4 linked regions of the Callithrix jacchus genome follow. The protein of the gene in region 4 purifies or fractionates together with the protein of the main gene of each other region. This does not show direct contact. Links are inferred from orthologs where the notes say so. Each region holds a gene or a part of one and is shown on either strand. Other genes may lie near its edges. The genes, in order: ACTL6A, EPC2, MAX and KAT5.

Region 1 (3,798 bases), on a different chromosome or scaffold from region 4:
ACAATTTTCCCTTTCTTTTTTTTTTTTTGAAATGTTTTCCTATTATATACACTTAATAGCTTAATCTATCAATTCTGCCATCCTGGCTGTACATTTAACTCATCTAAGGAGCTTTTACTCCTGGGGCAATTAAATAAAAATTTCTGGGGATGGGATCCAGGCAAGATTACTTTTAGAGACGGGGTCTCGCTATATTGCCTACATTGGAATGCAGTGGCTATTCACAGGCACTATCATAGCGTACCACAGCCTCAAACTCCCGGCTTCCAACAATCCTCCTCCTGTCTCAGGCTCCCAAGCAACTGGGACTACATGCCACTGTGCCTGGCAGGCATGCTTTTTAACTCCCAAGATTAGTTTAATGTGCACAAAGTTTTAAGAACCGCTAACTTAAAGGAATCGTCCTAAAAATGATCATTTTTTTGGCAGATAGCTGCCAATAATAGAAGTGTATTTTATAACAACTTTATCTTAGAATGCTCATCTGGAAAATTTAATACCAACCACCAGCCAAAAATTAAAATTACAAATATTTTGAAAAAGAATGCTTATCTGGAAGTTAGGATATTCAAAATTTATGATTATGATGGACAAAGATGAACTCTGAACATAATCCTGTCCAAAATGATTGCTACCTTTCTCTTTTGCAGAGGTATGCATCAGAAGTACATGGGAGTTTTCTAAAACACAAGTGAGGCTTCCCCAAATAAAAATAAACTACTACTTATACAAAATATATTTACTTTGAATTTGCATGTATGCTTCAGAAGGTTAAAAGTCAACCTGTTTTAGTGGATAAATTCCTATTTTTAAAACATATTCAAAATGTCTAAATCATCTAAATTTTGAAGTAGAAAATGGAATAAAAAAGTACCTCATTAGTTAAAAGGAGAAATTTCACTAAAAATAAAGTTACCACTGTTGCAACAAATATACTTCAATTACCTTTCCCCAAAGGTGGACTTGTATGTGCGCTAAAAAAAAAAATCCCAAACTGACACTCCTATTGGTCCTTGAAACATCACATGCCTGCTAGGTTTCCGGTGAAATAAAGTATGATTTTCACAGCCACTCCAAGTCTTTTCTGAACAACATAGTAGCTGTTAGCACTCTATGCTTTAAGCAAATTAATTTACTCAAAATCCAGGCAGTCTGCGAGCAATAAGCTTAATCGAATCGGGTTTAAATAAGATGACGTCAGTCCTCACTTAATGTCATCAATATGTCCTTGGAAACTGACTTTCAGGAAAACGACGTAACAAAACCAATTTTTTTCCTGAAACAATGTCCTTCAAGAACCTACTGTACATCATTTCACTTAAAGTTGCAGTCTCCAAGGTCCTATCACTGATAATGAGTGAAGTATATAACATGGGGCTAGTATTTAAAACCTGACAAAGCACAAAAAAATATGAAGATCATCTAATATGAACTTCATGTAAAAGTTACTCATATAATTTAAAACACACCTTCCTGAAAAAGAAATGCAGAAGTTGTGCTATCTTTAAGAAAATCACCAGGGGCCGGGCGCGGTGGCTCAAGCCTGTAATGCCAGCACTTTGGGAGGCTGAGGCAGGTGGATTACGAGGTCAAGAGATTGAGACCATCCTGGTCAACATGGTGAAACCCCGTCTCTACTAAAAATACAAAAACTTAGCTGGGCATGGTGGTGCGTGCCTGTAATCCCAGCTACTCAGGAGGCTGAGGCAGGAGAACTGCCTGAACCCAGAAGGCGGAGGTTGTGGTGAGCCGAGATCATGCCATTGCACTCCAGCATGGGTAGCAAGAGTGAAACTCCGTCTCAAGAAAAAAAAAGAAAATCACCAATAATACATATTTTGGTTGGCCACATTTCAGGAAATCTCCAGCGTGGCACCTTCTATAAGAACTTTCTGTGATGATACAAATGTTCTGTATCTGCCCTGCCTGATGAAGCAGCCACCAGCCACATGTATAATGAGGCTACTATAACTGAAGAGCTGAATTTTAAGTTTTTATTTAATTTAAATTGCTACATGTGGCAGGTAGCTACCAGTCCGGACTCCATAGCTCTAGAGTTTTGACTTTTCCTTTTTCAGTACTTCCTCTTTTTATATCTACTGTTATAAAACAAACTTCAAAGTCAATGACACTGACAACCTAACAATGACTTGGAGACACGTCAGTACCCTAAAAGATCTGGCACTTACTGGTCTGATATCAATATCACACATCCCAACACTTGTGGTGACAACGTGACTGACTCCTAACATTGTGTTTCCTGATAACCCCTACAACAAAAGAAAACAAAGAGTCACATGGAAGAACTTCAAACAGTTAAAGCACATCCAAAACGTTTTAGTCTTATTTTATAATCACAAACACTCCTTACACATATAGAAAAAGCCAGGCTCATTATGAAATAAGCTTTTATACCTTTACATTGGAAGGGTCAAATAATCCTTCCGGAATTTTTAGCCGCTCTGCACCAAAATCACAATTGTAGCCATTGGGGAATTCATAATGAACAGTTGGCATCTGTGCAGCCACTCTGAAAACGTATTAAACAGTATCACACAAAAGACAAAATTAATTCTCTTCGAAATGATAAACTACTAGGGAATTATCAACTTTTAAAATAATGGGAGTGAGAATATTTTAAGCATTATTCAATTAAGTACGTTCCATGATATTTTTTAAACAAATCCTTTCCTTATTTATAAAGTAACAATTTAAATAAGAAAACATACTGTTCATCATAAGTTGAATCCGACACTTGAAGTACTGAAGCTTGAAAATCCTGGATAACACACTATGAGTAAAAGAAAAAAGTTTAAAAAACAAGGTTGAGATTTATCTTTTTAATCTACACTTTTATAACATATTTTAAATACTTTTCGGAATAAAACTGGACCCTGTTTCTGTATGGGTAAATAATTTCAAGAGTATAAATCTACCTCACAAGGATTCTGAGTATCAAGAAACCCAACGCTAAACATTTGCATTAGAGGCTAAATTACACACATTTAAGTTACGACAGTTATGAAACAATCATAAGAGGTAAACAACAGGGAACCCCTGCACCACAGTCCTGCATAACAAAACCAACTTCAGAAGACCAGTTTCTCCTTAAAAATAAGCTAGATTAGAAGCAACATATATACATCACATTTTATGCAACTTTTAATGACTGTACAGTGTATAAAACAGTTTAATAAAATGCTATGAACTAATATGACCTCTAGAAAAATCTTGTTTAGTATCTAGAAAAAAATGACTAATCATCCTAATTTTTCCTCATATTAAAAAAATCTTCATTTTTAGGTACAAAAACTGTCAGATAGAGTGGGGTGCAGTGGCTCATGCCTGAAATCTCAGCACTTTGGGAGGCTAAGGTAGGAGGATCAGTTGAGGCCAGGAGTTCAAGACCAGCCTGGGCAACACAGGGGTGGCTCACACCTGTAATCCCAGCACTTTGGGAGGCCAAGGCAGGCAGATCATGAGGTCAGGAGAGCAAGACCATCTTGGCTAACCGGTGAAACCCCATCTCTACTAAATAGTCCTAGCTACTCAGGAGGCTGAGGCAGGAGAATCACTTGAACCCAGGAGGCGGAGGTTGCTGTGTGCCAAGATTGCACTACTGCACTCCAGCCTGGGCAAGAGTGAGACTCTGTCTCAAAAAAAATAAAATTAAAATAATATAAAAGAAATAAAAAATAAAAAAATTAGCCAGGCATGGTGGCGTGCACCTGTAGTCCTTTAGGAGGCTGAGGCGGGAGGAGCCCAGGTGTTTGAGGCTGCACTGAACTACAAATACAC
Region 2 (3,798 bases), on a different chromosome or scaffold from region 4:
CAACTACCCTAAAGAAAAAGAATAAAGACTTTCAGAAAGCTGTCACATTATTAGAAAGCACTGTGCCCAGACCATGTCATATCAGGCCAAATATCCCTATGTAATTGAGTGGACCTCTAGGGCAGTCGCACTGACCCATTAGAGGGCACTTTATTATAAATGTCATAAAAACAAATTAAATAATATACAGATATACCAATGGCAGGGAAATAATATGTTTTAGATAAATTTCCACTCATAACGGTTAAAATTTTTAAAAAAGTTTTGGTATTTAAATTTCAGTTGTCTTGCACTTTTGCTTTGTAGTACATCTCTTTCTGACAAACGCTGGCTCAACCACATTTACTCGCAAATTCCTGAACCTCACAAATCCCTCTCTTCCTATTTTGAGAGGAAAAATGTTTTCTCCATATTATTTCCAAACTGTGGTAATTACCACTGAGCAGGGTCATCCAGGGGAGAAAGGTATTTGTTTGAGGTTCCAATATACCTCCACCAACCCTAGGGGGAGACACAGAAACAGTGAGCTGGGGCTGACTCTTCTTCATGGGGAATGAAGCCCAAACCTGAAATTTGAAAGGAAATCCCAAATGTGAATTTTCCACTTTGGTTCCTTTGCAAATCATGTCCCTAATTCTAAGATATACACGGAAGTGTCACAAAGTCTCAGAAATTCTGTGTATAAAATCTATCACCTTTTTCTCCTACCATTCCCTAGGGATAGATTCCAGAGGACAAACGAAGGCTGAGTCATAGGAAGACAAAGCTAATGTTAGGAAAATCAGAAGCATGATCAAGAGGCAGGGTTTTAGTTCTATGCAGCTGCAATTTGACAGCATAAGTCTGGTTAAAATGTGTGTTCTCTTAAGGCCCTATTCCCTTGTTCATGTTTATTAGACAGAGAAAAAGTATGATTATTTTAATGATCTTGTCAGCAATAAAATTCTGATTTTATAAGAGTTACACTCTGAATAGGGGCCTCACTGAATGAAGCCCAAATATAGGTAAATATTTACTCTTTAGCAATATGCAAATACCATAAAATTAATGAGGGTTGTCTAAGATCTAATATAAAGACTCAAAGAACCTAAATGTTTCAAAGGGCAATTTTCATGTGGGGATGGGAACTGGGAACTATATAAATCAATGTAAGAATTTGGAGGAGAAATGAAAATCCTTTAATGAACGAGAAACATATGACTAGTTATGCCGCTCTACTTTCAGGCTGGAGGTACTAATTCCACCAATAAGAGAAAAGTTTCTATAGGTCACAGCACCCTACAGTATCTTTTTTTTTTTTTTTTTTTTTTTTAAGGCAGGGTCTTGCTCTGCTGCCCAGGCTGGAGTATGGTGCTGTAACCTTGGTTCACTGCAACCTTTGTCTCACTGGCTCAAGCAATCTTCCTGCCTCAGCCTCCCGAGTAGCGGGAACTAGAGGCATGCATCACCACACCTGGCTAAATTTTTGTACTTCTGTTTCTTTTTGTAGAGATGGGGTTTCACCATGTTGCCCAGGCTTGGTCTCCAACTCCTGGGCGCAAGCAATCCACCTGCTTTGGCTTCCCAAAGTGCTGGGATTACAGGCGTGAGTCACAATGTCTGGCCGACAGCATCATTCTTAAAGGGATGGGAATATGTAGCAAAACTTTCTAGCCTCTCATTAGTACCACCAATATAAGCCTATTCTACATATATTTATCTATGTCATTTTCTTAGTTAACATTATAATTTCCCAGTATATATAATGTAGATAGAGGCTATCTGCCATCTGGCTATTACTGCAGGCATCAAGCCTTTCATCCCCTTTTCCTCCTATATTTTGTGCTCCAGCAATGCTAAACTGCTAGCAGTTCCCTCTAATATGCTGTGCCTAGAACCCTAACCTATACTTGCTATCTGGAAAATTACTATTTTCTAGGGCACTATATCCCTCATTCCTTCAAAATGGTCATATGGTCATCTGGTGAATGTCCCATGGCTAGTCAAAGCTCTGCCTGAGTCAAACTAGTTGATCCTCTGACAAAAGTAATGTATGGGTTCATTAAGTTTTCCTCAAGAACTTAATATAAAATTAAATGTATCTTTGCACATTTAATACTATGCATATGACTATCAGAATATTATCTGAATAAAAAAACTAAATCGGGAAAAAAAGAGTAAAAATAATAGAATGTAGCCCAAAGGGACACATTTTATGCAAACTCCAGATCTGAAATGGTATTGCAATGAAGAATTGGCTTTCCAAACATATCTGTAATGTTGGTTTTTTCAAAGAAAGTTTCCTTAAAGCAAACAAGTCAAAAGTTAAAATATGATAAAGTTGGTGGTAGGTTCAAGTCTTTGTTACAGTATTTTCTGTAAGTTTCCTACACTATATTTTTAAAAAGAGGGTATCACTAAAACAGATGATAAATAATATTTTTTGGAAAAAATTTATCTTTTAATATATAAAGTAAAAGTCTTATTTTAAAACAAGGAATAAAAATAAAGATTTTCTTTAATTGCACACATTTTTCTACAAAACTTTTAATATTTATCGAAGAGTTAAAACTGGAATCAGTTCCCTTAAATCTTTTAGAATCAAATAGCCATTACCTAACAAATTAGCAAAATTTACGTTAAAAGTTATAAAACACAATGCTGGTGGAATATGGTAAAAAGGAAAGCATTACTGATATTTTCAATATTTACAATTATATATTAACTGCCTTAAAATATTGATAATTTTCAGTTAGTAACTAGTAATTCCATTTCCAAAAATCTATTCTAAATACAGAGGGACAAGATCTACATTCATTTTTATAAAAGGAAAAACTGAAAACCATGTGATCAGGAGAGAGTAAATTCTATACAACTGATGAAAAATAATACAGAGTAAATACCATTTCAGTGGCTACATAAATAATGTGGAAATGTTTATGCTATATATATTAGGGGAACAAAGCAAGAATAAAAACACTAAGATGGCAATTGTTTTAAAAATATAGCAATATAAAAGACTAGGAGCAAATGTCTTTAAAATAGTTTTAAAACAAGCACCTGTGGAAATTCATCTTCATCTGAGCTGTGAAAGTCATATTGCTTAATGTCACTCTTATTGATCACAGGCAATGTCTCAGGAGTGGGTTGCTGAGATGTTATCAAAGCCTCTGCTTTAGGCTTCTTTGGGTACTTCTTCTTTTGACGAACCACATCAGAAGCCTCTTCTTTCAAAGACAAATGATGAGGGTGCTGTTTACATGACGATTTTTCCCCCAAAAGGAAGAAATAAAAATAATTTTAGAAATTACGAAAAACTATACTGCCCTTTGAAAAACATATATTTTTACCCAGGAGGTGATTTAATGTTTTTTAATAAGCAAAAATTATTCTGTGTTCATAAACTGAAACATGTTTTACTTTCTGCAACTTATGATGAAAAATAATTATGTATTTAAATTTGCTTTTAATACTATTACTTCTTAAAAGTAAGATGTGAGTGATTTTTTGGATTGCTCTATTATGTAATCCAGTATTTAAAAGGTATTTAAATTCAATTCTTATTTAAATCTACTATATTGACAAAATTAACAACTATTTTTATTTTTAAAAATCTTCAATTGGACCATGACTTTATTAAGTTATTTTTACACTTAGTTCCAATTTTTTAAAACGTCTGTTCTATGGATGGCAACCTTTTGAGAAAAACAAGCTTAACTAGGAAAAAAGCCCTCACTTTTTAGAATGTATAATTACTGCAGCAACTGAACAATAACTGTTCTGAAGTTCCCCAGGCTTCTGTGGAGGTTCCTGAGAGGC
Region 3 (4,596 bases), on a different chromosome or scaffold from region 4:
AAATGTCACCAAAAAAAGAACCCTTTTCTCTTACTGGGAAGTCAATATAATTTCAATTCAAAGGATAATTCTGCAAAGGAGGCCTAAACGATCCTTACCCTCCAACCCTGATTAAGCCCTGGCAGATTTTACAACTGGAGACTTGCAGGGGAAAAAAAAAAAAAAGTTTTAAAAAGACTAGGCCCCAAACATGAAGAGTAAAAGTAAATTAAAAAAAGGAATTCGATTTTCAAATATATGTATATGAGAATACTTCAAAGATAAATAAAACAAAACAAATTATTCTTAATGACTATTATCCAGGGATAATTTTTAAGACTTCTGGAACAACTACATCCTCGGATCTTATGGAAATATCAGCTCTCAATAAATAAGTTTTCTTAATACCCATCTGCTTAGACAAACTGTACAATCTTTGCTTGCTCTAATGAAGAGCAGGTACAACCGAGATGGCCTGCCTTTATCGTGTGGTTATTAAGTTCTTATACCAGAGGCATCAAAGTAAGATCCTGCAAATTCTAACAAGCCCCCAAAGAGTTGTTCCACACATATTAAAAATCAGAAAAATGAACATATAAAGTTTGGATTTCTTTTTTTTTTTTGAGATGGGGTCTTGCTCTGTCTCCCAGGCTAGAGTGTAATGGCTCATTGTCACCTTTGCCTCCTGGGTTCAAGCAACTCTCCTGCCTCAGCATCCAGAGTAGCTGAGATTACAGGCACCTGCCACCATGCCTGGCTAATTTTTTGTATTTTTAGTAGAGACAGGGGTTTCACCATGTTCACCAGGATGGTCTTGGACTCCTGACTTCAGGTGATCCTCCCACCTTTGCCTCCCAAAGCGCTGGGATTACAGGTGTGAGCCACCATGCCTGGCCATCTTTCTTAAAAACAGGAAGATCTGGCAATACTGATCCTGCACTCCTACATAACAAACCACTGGAATTTAGTAGTGGCTGACTTTTTAGAGGAGGCATTGCCCTCCAGTACCCCAAGTCTTCACCTCTTCCCTCTTCTTTACTCTTGACAGCCCCCCATGAGCATTAGAATTTTTTAACCCCTATTCTATACACTTCTTACTGTTCCCAACTGTCAAATTTTAGACACTCTGATACACTTCTCTTCCCCTCTCTGATTCTGATTTATTCTATGTGTATTATTTTTTCCCTCTAATCTATTCATGAAACACCCTTATTACTGTCTCAGACTCCAAAGACATGAAATTAGTCTTATCTAAATCCACAGAACCATCTACTGAGAACATTAATATCAAAACCCTAAGAAATTATTGATAAAATTGCATGGTTTCATCACCTTTCAGCAAAGCTGTCTCTGCAGTGCCACTTTTCTTCAACTATTTTTTAGTTTTCTTTATACCTCTTCTTCAAATACAGAGTCAGACCATAACAACCGTATGTGACACTCTCATGATGCAACCTTTGGCTCTTCTACATTTCCAATTTTTGCACTAAAATACCATGTTGTGCTAGATTCTACGGGTCTACAGCAGTCACATGACTTGGTTAAAGGCGATTATTACATGTGGCTTCAGCTTCACACAATTATGCAGATATGGTTTAAAACCTACCTGGTCCTAAGTAAATCTTCTAACCACTTTGCCCTTAAGTAATACTACCAACGACTTCAAAATGCTGCATTTCTCATTTCCACTTATATAGTGGCAGCTGAATCCCCTATCTGAAAACTACAGAACAATTCAATTCTTTGCATACAGCTCCTCTCAGTCACCTAGAGTCACTGAACTTATCACCTGAGCATCTAGAATTATGGGATCTGCAACACCCCCGCCCTCCAGAACCAGGCCCCGCCTCACCTTAATGGTTAACATTAGGGTTTACTACCATATTAAAAGTAATAGAACGATCTCTTTTTCTCTCTGACCCCAAAAAGAATAGAACTGAACGGAAATAAAAATGAAATGGAGAGTAGGAGACGTACCGCAGATTGAAACCTCGGTTGCTCTTCCTGGAATAAGAGAGAAAAAAAAAATAGAAAATATAGAAGTTATTTTTACACTTAACATTCAGTAATAAGAAAGAAAATGCCGGCGGCAGAGGAAGCGGCGGGTGGGGAGTCAGCCCGACACCCCTTCCTCCCTCCCCACCCCTTGCCCCCACCCTTCCACCCTCAGCGGGATCCGGTAGCAAGGTAGAGGGGTCCCGAGCGCCGCCCCTCCTTCCGGGATCCGACCGGGGCCAGAGGGGTCCCGAGCACTGTCTCTTCCCTGCAGACCCAGCTCGGGCATCTAGGCACCCTCAACCCCTCTCCGCCCTTCCTCGCCCCCCAGGATCCGCGGGTCATGGGAGGAGAGAATCGCGATCCGAAGGGGCAGTTCCTGAGCACAGTCCCCTTCGCCTGGATCCGGACAATGGGATCCCAGGCGCCCCCCATCTTTGTCCCCCGAATCCTGACCGGGGGAAAATGGGAGGGGGAGGCCGCAGCACCCTCCCTCGCCGGAGAAGGGAGGGGTCCCAGAGGCCGCGTGTCTTTCCCCCACCTCAGTCCCAGGAGGCCGCTCCAGCCAGGAGCCGGAGCGGAGCGAACCGGGAACGCGACGCAGACAGTCCTGGCCCCAAGGGGAAGGGGAAGGATGCGGCGGCGGCCCGGTCCCCTCCCGCCGTCGCCCCGCTGAGAGCCCCGGCCGCTGTCCCCGCCTGACAACCCGCACTGGAAGGAAGAAGCCCCAGGACTCACGTCGCTCTCCACCTCGATGTCATCGTTATCGCTCATTTCCTACGGCCCAGGAAGCGGCCACTGCAGCGGCGGCGGGGAGGGGAAGGGGTGGAGGGGAGGGGGAAGTCACCGACAACAACAAGCTGAGTCCCCCCCACACACACACTCACTCACTCACTCACTCGCTCTCTCACTCACACACACACACACACAACACGGGCGAGAACCACCTCCTCACTGCAGCACCGGATCAACGGCGGCACGCACGCCCGGTCGGCCCTCACCACGTGATCGGGCTCGTAGCGCTGGGGCCGCCGAGACTTGTAGTTCTTGTCCCTCTGACGGTCGGCCCGGGTAGCTCCAGAAAAACTACAAATCCCAGAAGAAACTAAATCCAGGCGACGCCAGCCCCGCTTGTTGACGGAGCCCAAGGCGCCTGCGTATCCGGGAGAGGGCGGGGCGGAGAGAGCCGCGGCGCGGTGCCTCCTGGGAGTCGTAGTCCGCAGACCGCGAGTTGTCAGGAGGTTTTCCTCCCGAGGTTGCAGAGGAGGCTGCTGGGAAGACAGGACACGTGGAGGGAGCTGGAGCTCCTGGAGCCGGCCACCGTCTGCGCGCTGGGCGCCGGGCCCAGGGGACTGGGTGGAAGCTCTAGGGGAGTAGCTGACTGTCTAAATAACGCTGCCTGTCTTTGGTGCGACCGGTTTTACTTTGCAGTCTTGATGTGGAGTGGTTTCGCTTTGCGTCTTGGGGCGTAACCCGCCCAGGAGGGAATCCGGCTGCGGCGGACCAGGGGGCACGGCTCCGGATACCCGCGCGAACCCTCGGGAGCTGGTGAGGAGGTGTCAGTGGCAGGTGTTTCGTGGAGTTACCGGACAGGCAGGATGACCGACCTCGCCGGGCGACCGCTCATAGCCGCAAGAATCCTGTATTCATTTATCCGAGAGTGACCATCCTCGACACTCCGCTACTCACGTGAGCTTCCAGCATTCACAGAACCCGAACCCTCAACCACCGTGGACTTGGAAGTAAAACCCCTTCAGAGTTTGTTGTGTAGCCCAGGCAGTTTAGGCAATATCCCAGCTCAAGTACCATAATTAAGATTGCAAAAAGGATCAATATGGGAAACTTGTGCAGCTCCCTGTCCAGTTAAAATCATATTTACATACTGTGGAGTAAAATGTAGTCACATCCATTCCACCAATATTTATTGAACACCTAACATGTGCCACAAGGGGATGCCATAACGGATAAGACCAGAACGATCCCTGCCTTAGTGTGGTTCACAGCTATGCAAGCAAACCTGACTGCCCTGCCGCCATTTTAGGAGTGCAACAAGTCCCATGGGAAGAAAAAAAAAAAAAGACACTTTCCACCCTGAGACAAAGTACCCGTACTACTCCTTTACATCTGATCTCCAAAATGAATGACATTTTGAGCTTTTCCATGAGTTACTGATTCCCGGATGAAAATTATATTATCCCTGACTTTTGAATGTGGAAATTTGGGGATATGTCGCACACAATTCTTGGGACATACATTCCTTTTGAACTTACCTTTTCTACGTGTTCCTTTCCTGCTGAGTTGGGGAGACAGACATAAGCAGACCATTATGTGATAAGGGCTGATGACAGACGGCCACTCTTGAGTGAGTTAATTAACTGGATACTAGAAGTTAAAGCTAATTGATTATTACAAGAAACCGTTGTTGAGTGCCTGCTATGTACAGAGCATTCTAGGACAATCCCGGCTCCAAGTTAAAATCACCCTAGGGGCTTTAAAAAATTCCCATTCCCAGGCCACACCCCAAACCATTTAAGCCAGAACCTCTGGAGGTGAGATCCAGACTAAAGGATTTTTTTTTTTTTTTTTCTTTTTGCAGGGGGCAAAGTCATGCTCTGTCGCCCA
Region 4 (4,275 bases):
AGAAACTGTCATTTGACTTACCCCACAGCCCCACTGCCTCTCAGGCACTAACCTTGTTCTTGCGTCCATCAATCTCAAAGAAGGAGATGGTGCCTTTGCGGTAAATCTCGTTGCCTGGAGGATGTCGGAGGTCACACTTGGTCTGGGGAAGAGAGGAGGATCAGGGACGAGGGCAAGGTGGACAGTGCTGGGAAGGCAGCCTCCCTGTACCCCTCATACCAAGTGACGCTGAAGACACTTGAGGCTACGGCCGTACTTGAGGCAGAACTCGCACAGGTAGAGGACAGGCAATGTAGTGAGCTCCTGTGGGTACGGGGAGAAGTACCACGGCTTGAGGCGGTGCCGGCCCAGCTCGATACACTCAATGTTCTTCATCCGGGTGACGATGTCGTCGTGGCTCCGGTCAGACACCAGGCTGCCAGTCATGCGTGGTGCCGATGGTATTCCATCTGAGCTGTCCTGGGAGTCCTGCCCAGGGCGAGTAGAAGACACCAGGTTAGACGAGACAGCTCAGCAGGACACCACAGCTCACACCCCCTCAACAGGTTTCCTTCAAGCCTAACAGCAACCCTATAGGGAAGGTACCATGACCCCCAATTTCCAGACGTAAAACCTGAAACCCTAAGGGACTGATGATGTGGAAAACATCACCCAATGATCATTTTGGAGATGGAGTCTCACTCTGTCGCCCAGGATGAGGTGCAGTGGTGCAATCTTGGCTTGCTGCAACCTTCACCTCCGGGCTTCAAGAGATTCTCTGGCCTCAGCCTCCGGAGTAGCTGGGATTACGGGTGCCTGCCACTATGTCTGGCTAATTTTTTTTTTTTTTTGAGACAAAGGCTCACTTTTTTCCCAGGCTGGAGTACCAGTGGTGTAATCTCAGCTCACTGCAACCTCCACCTCCGGGGTTCAAACGTTTCTCCTGCCTCGGCCTCCCAAGTAGCTGGGATTACAGGCGTGCGCCACCAGGCCCAGCTGATTTTTTACTTTTAGTAGAGATGGGGTTTCACCATGTTTCACTACCATGTTGGACAGGGTGGTCTCAATCTCTTGACCTCATGACCCACCCACCTTGGCCTCTCAAAGAGCTGGGATTACAGGTGTCAGCCACTGTGCCCAACCAATTTTTTTATTTTTAGTAGAGATGAGGTTTTGCCATGTTGGCCAGGCTGGTCTCAAACTCCTGACCTCAGGTGATCCACCCACCTTGGCCTCCCAAAGTGCTGGGATTACAGGTGTGCACCATGGTGCCCAGCCCCAATGATTCATTTGAACCATGTTCTGCCTGGCTCCTAATCCTACCAACACTAGCCCTGCCCAGGTCCACCACCCCTTCATTTTTATACTCATCACTAAATAACTCTCCACCCTGCCTGCATCCCTTCCTTTTCACGCAGCTCCCTTCTGCTGCTCCCCAGACCCACCTCATCAGTGCCCAGACAATTTGATTTTCGCTTCCGTCCTGGCTGGGCTGCCACTGCCCTACGTGCTGCTCCATTCTGCAGATGAGATACCAGGAAAAGAAGGGATGACTGTGAGATGAGCTTGAAAAGGGCCACCAGAGGGCAGAAGAGAGGAAAGGAACAAGAAATGGTTTGGGGAACTCACCTGGGGAAAAACCGAAGCTGGGGCTGTCTCACTGGGCACTGGAGTTGCTGGTGAAACCACCTCCACCTTCCGTTTCTGCAGAGAGAAACCAACAAAGGTGGGTCAGAGGGTAGAGAAGGTGGGACCTGAGAAGAAAGCAAGGTCCCTGGAATTGCTGAGGGTACCGTTGAGCGGTGGTTGGGCTGCAGGCAGGAGCTGGAGGAGAGCGGCTGGTCAGGCTCGCCACCGGGAATGGCCTCCCGCTCCTTGGGCAGGTTGAAGCGGAGTGTGATCTGGACCGGGATTGGCAAGGTCTTCCCGCTGGCCTGGGCCGAGGCCGGCTGTAGAGATAGGTCCAGGGTCTTCCTCTGGGGCGGGGATGGCAGTGGGATGGGGAAGGGGAAGAGGGGCCCCTCAGCTTAAAATTATCAAACCCCACCCTCTGCCTTCTGAAGGACACAGGACTAACTACTGGACTCTGGGAGCTACATGTGCAATTTGGCCCCCATCTTTTGCAAGCTGAAGTCAGGGTAAGAGGATGCCGCCTCCTGCCCATCCAGGAGCCCCTAAATGCCAACAGATAAGAGAAATAGGAGGCAGGAGAGATGAGGTGAAGTGGGGGACCTACTCACCACCTCTCTCTCTGGAGAGCCGGGACGGGACCCAGGAAGTCCGTTCTTGGTGGGGGTCTTGGCCTCTTTCTTGGGGAACTGGATCTTCTTTAGGTCCAGCCGCTCGTGCGTCACCCATTCATCCAGACGTTTGTTGACTGTAGCAGTGGGGATGGCTCAGGAAGGAATGCCAAAGACTGCCCCCCAACCCCCTACCCTGCTGCCCCACCTTAGGCCCAGAACTCACAATCAATGTAATGGACGTAGAAAAGCTTCCGGCCACTGATGTCCTTCACACTCAGGATCTCGGCCAGTGCTATGGGAACAGCATAGGCAGGGACCTTAGACGGGCCAGGCCATGAGACTCCACCCTTCCACGACCTGAACTCCACCCCCAGGCCGGATCCCTAAGCTGCAGCACTTGGAAGGTCTCATCCAAGCCTCCTTCAGTCACAAGTGCCACCCCTTTCCAGACCCCGCCCTGTACCTCTCATAGCAGCTAAGAGCCACGCCCCTTCATCGGAGTGTCTGAGCCCCGCCCGCCCCATAATTCCAGAGGCCCCTCCCCATCCCGGGGGTTCAGTGGACTCCCTCCCGCCCCTCGCCCTCAGGTTCCTTAGCCCCGCCCCCCGACGTCACTCACGCCACTCATCTTCGTTGTCCTGGTTCCGCCGCAGCACGGGTAGGCGGCAGCCCTCGATTATCTCCCCCTGGGGAGACAGCGCGGCGCCAGGGTCGGCTACTGGGGGGCCTCGGGCTCTACCCACCTCCCCTGGCTCCCTCCGCCCCGCCCCAGGCACCGGACTCACCACCTCCGCCATCTTCCCTCCCTCCACTGCCACTTCCGGCCCCTCTGGGAGACGTCACTTCCGGAACTGAGTGCTGTAGGCTTGGGCCTCACGAAGCCCCTATAGAGGACCTTTGAGAGACACCGCCACCCAGCTGCCAGCGGCAAGACTGCCCCTGTGGCTTGGGGGAGAATGTGGTGTTACAAGCCTCAGACCGAGCCCTAAGTGGAAACCCCACAACGTGCACAGCGATTGGAGAACTACTGAGCCCGTCACCTGACGCCCACCGCGTGCGACGCTGGTCACGTGGATGCGGAGCGGGTCACGTGGCAATATTGTTTGGGCTTTGACAGAGGGCGGTGCTGGGGCGTCTCCTCGTGGCGGCGGGAGGTATCGCCGGGAGTGAACTGCTAGTGCTGAGCTACGGGCCGAGAGGCTGGAGGAAGGGAGTGGCTTTAGAGGGGCTTCAACGCTCTTCCAAGTCTGTGGACTTCATTCCATAGGCAGGAGGATTCAGGGAATATTCCTAGCTTTATTTTGTATACTACGCTTTTTTTTTTTTTGAGACGGAGTCTCGCTCTGCAGCAGTGGCGCGATGTCGGCTCACTGCAACCTCTGCCCCCTGGGTTCAAGCGATTTTCCTGCCTCAGCCTCCCCTGTAGTTGGGACAAAAGGCGCGGACCACCATGCCCAACTAATTTTTGTATTTTTAGTAGAGACGGGGTTTCTCCATGTTGGCCAAGATGCTCTCAATCCTTTGACCTCGTGATCTGCCCGCCTTAGCCTCCCAAAATTCTGGGATTACTTGAGGTCAGGAGTTCAAGACCAGCCTGGCCAACATGGTAAAACCCCATCTCTACTAAAAATGTAAAAGTTAGCTGGATATGGTGGTGTCCTCCAGTTATCCCAGCTACTCAGGAGGCTGAGGCAAGAGAATGTCTTGAACCCAGGAGGCAGAGGTTGCAGTGAGCCAAGATCCTGCCATTGCACTCCAGTCTGGGTGACAGAGTGAGACCCTTTCTCAAAAAAAAGAAAAAGATGCTGCCCAGGCTGGTCTCAAACTTCTGAGCTCAAGCAGGCTACCCACCTCAGCCTCCCAAAGTTCTAGGGCCCCGGCCCCGGCCGTTGTTTTGTATATTAGGTTTATAATTATAAAGATAGTATGTGTGATACTCATCATACATTCAAAAAATATTTAGGGACCCAAAACATGTGTCAGACACTATTCTAGAGCCTGGAATACATCAGTGAACAAAATGAAGACTTCAGGTCTGGTGCAGTGGCTCACG

The links.
Region 1: the proteins of KAT5 (region 4) and ACTL6A purify together in Homo sapiens (affinity purification with mass spectrometry; 6 studies listed by BioGRID and IntAct, with this or other methods). This does not show direct contact. The link is inferred for Callithrix jacchus from reciprocal best matches to the Homo sapiens genes KAT5 and ACTL6A.
Region 2: the proteins of KAT5 (region 4) and EPC2 purify together in Homo sapiens (affinity purification with mass spectrometry; 3 studies listed by BioGRID and IntAct, counting the BioPlex papers as one, with this or other methods). This does not show direct contact. The link is inferred for Callithrix jacchus from reciprocal best matches to the Homo sapiens genes KAT5 and EPC2.
Region 3: the proteins of KAT5 (region 4) and MAX purify together in Homo sapiens (affinity purification with mass spectrometry; 3 studies listed by BioGRID and IntAct, with this or other methods). This does not show direct contact. The link is inferred for Callithrix jacchus from reciprocal best matches to the Homo sapiens genes KAT5 and MAX.

Annotation. Positions count from the first base shown.
Region 1 is NC_133516.1:7,809,570-7,813,367, reverse strand, and holds part of ACTL6A (actin-like protein 6A), read right to left. Parts: intron 2,792-3,798; coding exon 2,730-2,791; intron 2,531-2,729; coding exon 2,416-2,530; intron 2,271-2,415; coding exon 2,190-2,270; intron 1-2,189.
Region 2 is NC_133507.1:81,635,192-81,638,989, forward strand, and holds part of EPC2 (enhancer of polycomb homolog 2), read right to left. Parts: intron 3,232-3,798; coding exon 3,040-3,231; intron 1-3,039. UniProt on the Homo sapiens protein: May play a role in transcription or DNA repair.
Region 3 is NC_133509.1:99,770,509-99,775,104, forward strand, and holds the start of MAX (protein max), read right to left. Parts: upstream 2,931-4,596; 5' UTR 2,749-2,930; coding exon 2,713-2,748; exon of another isoform or gene 2,516-2,712; intron 1,984-2,515; coding exon 1,957-1,983; intron 1-1,956. UniProt on the Homo sapiens protein: Transcription regulator. Forms a sequence-specific DNA-binding protein complex with MYC or MAD which recognizes the core sequence 5'-CAC[GA]TG-3'. The MYC:MAX complex is a transcriptional activator, whereas the MAD:MAX complex is a repressor.
Region 4 is NC_133511.1:122,803,656-122,807,930, reverse strand, and holds the start of KAT5 (histone acetyltransferase KAT5), read right to left. Parts: upstream 3,039-4,275; 5' UTR 3,020-3,038; coding exon 2,842-3,019; intron 2,515-2,841; coding exon 2,446-2,514; intron 2,357-2,445; coding exon 2,220-2,356; intron 1,956-2,219; coding exon 1,773-1,955; intron 1,684-1,772; coding exon 1,609-1,683; intron 1,500-1,608; coding exon 1,425-1,499; intron 469-1,424; coding exon 220-468; intron 143-219; coding exon 53-142; intron 1-52. UniProt on the Homo sapiens protein: Catalytic subunit of the NuA4 histone acetyltransferase complex, a multiprotein complex involved in transcriptional activation of select genes principally by acetylation of nucleosomal histones H2A and H4.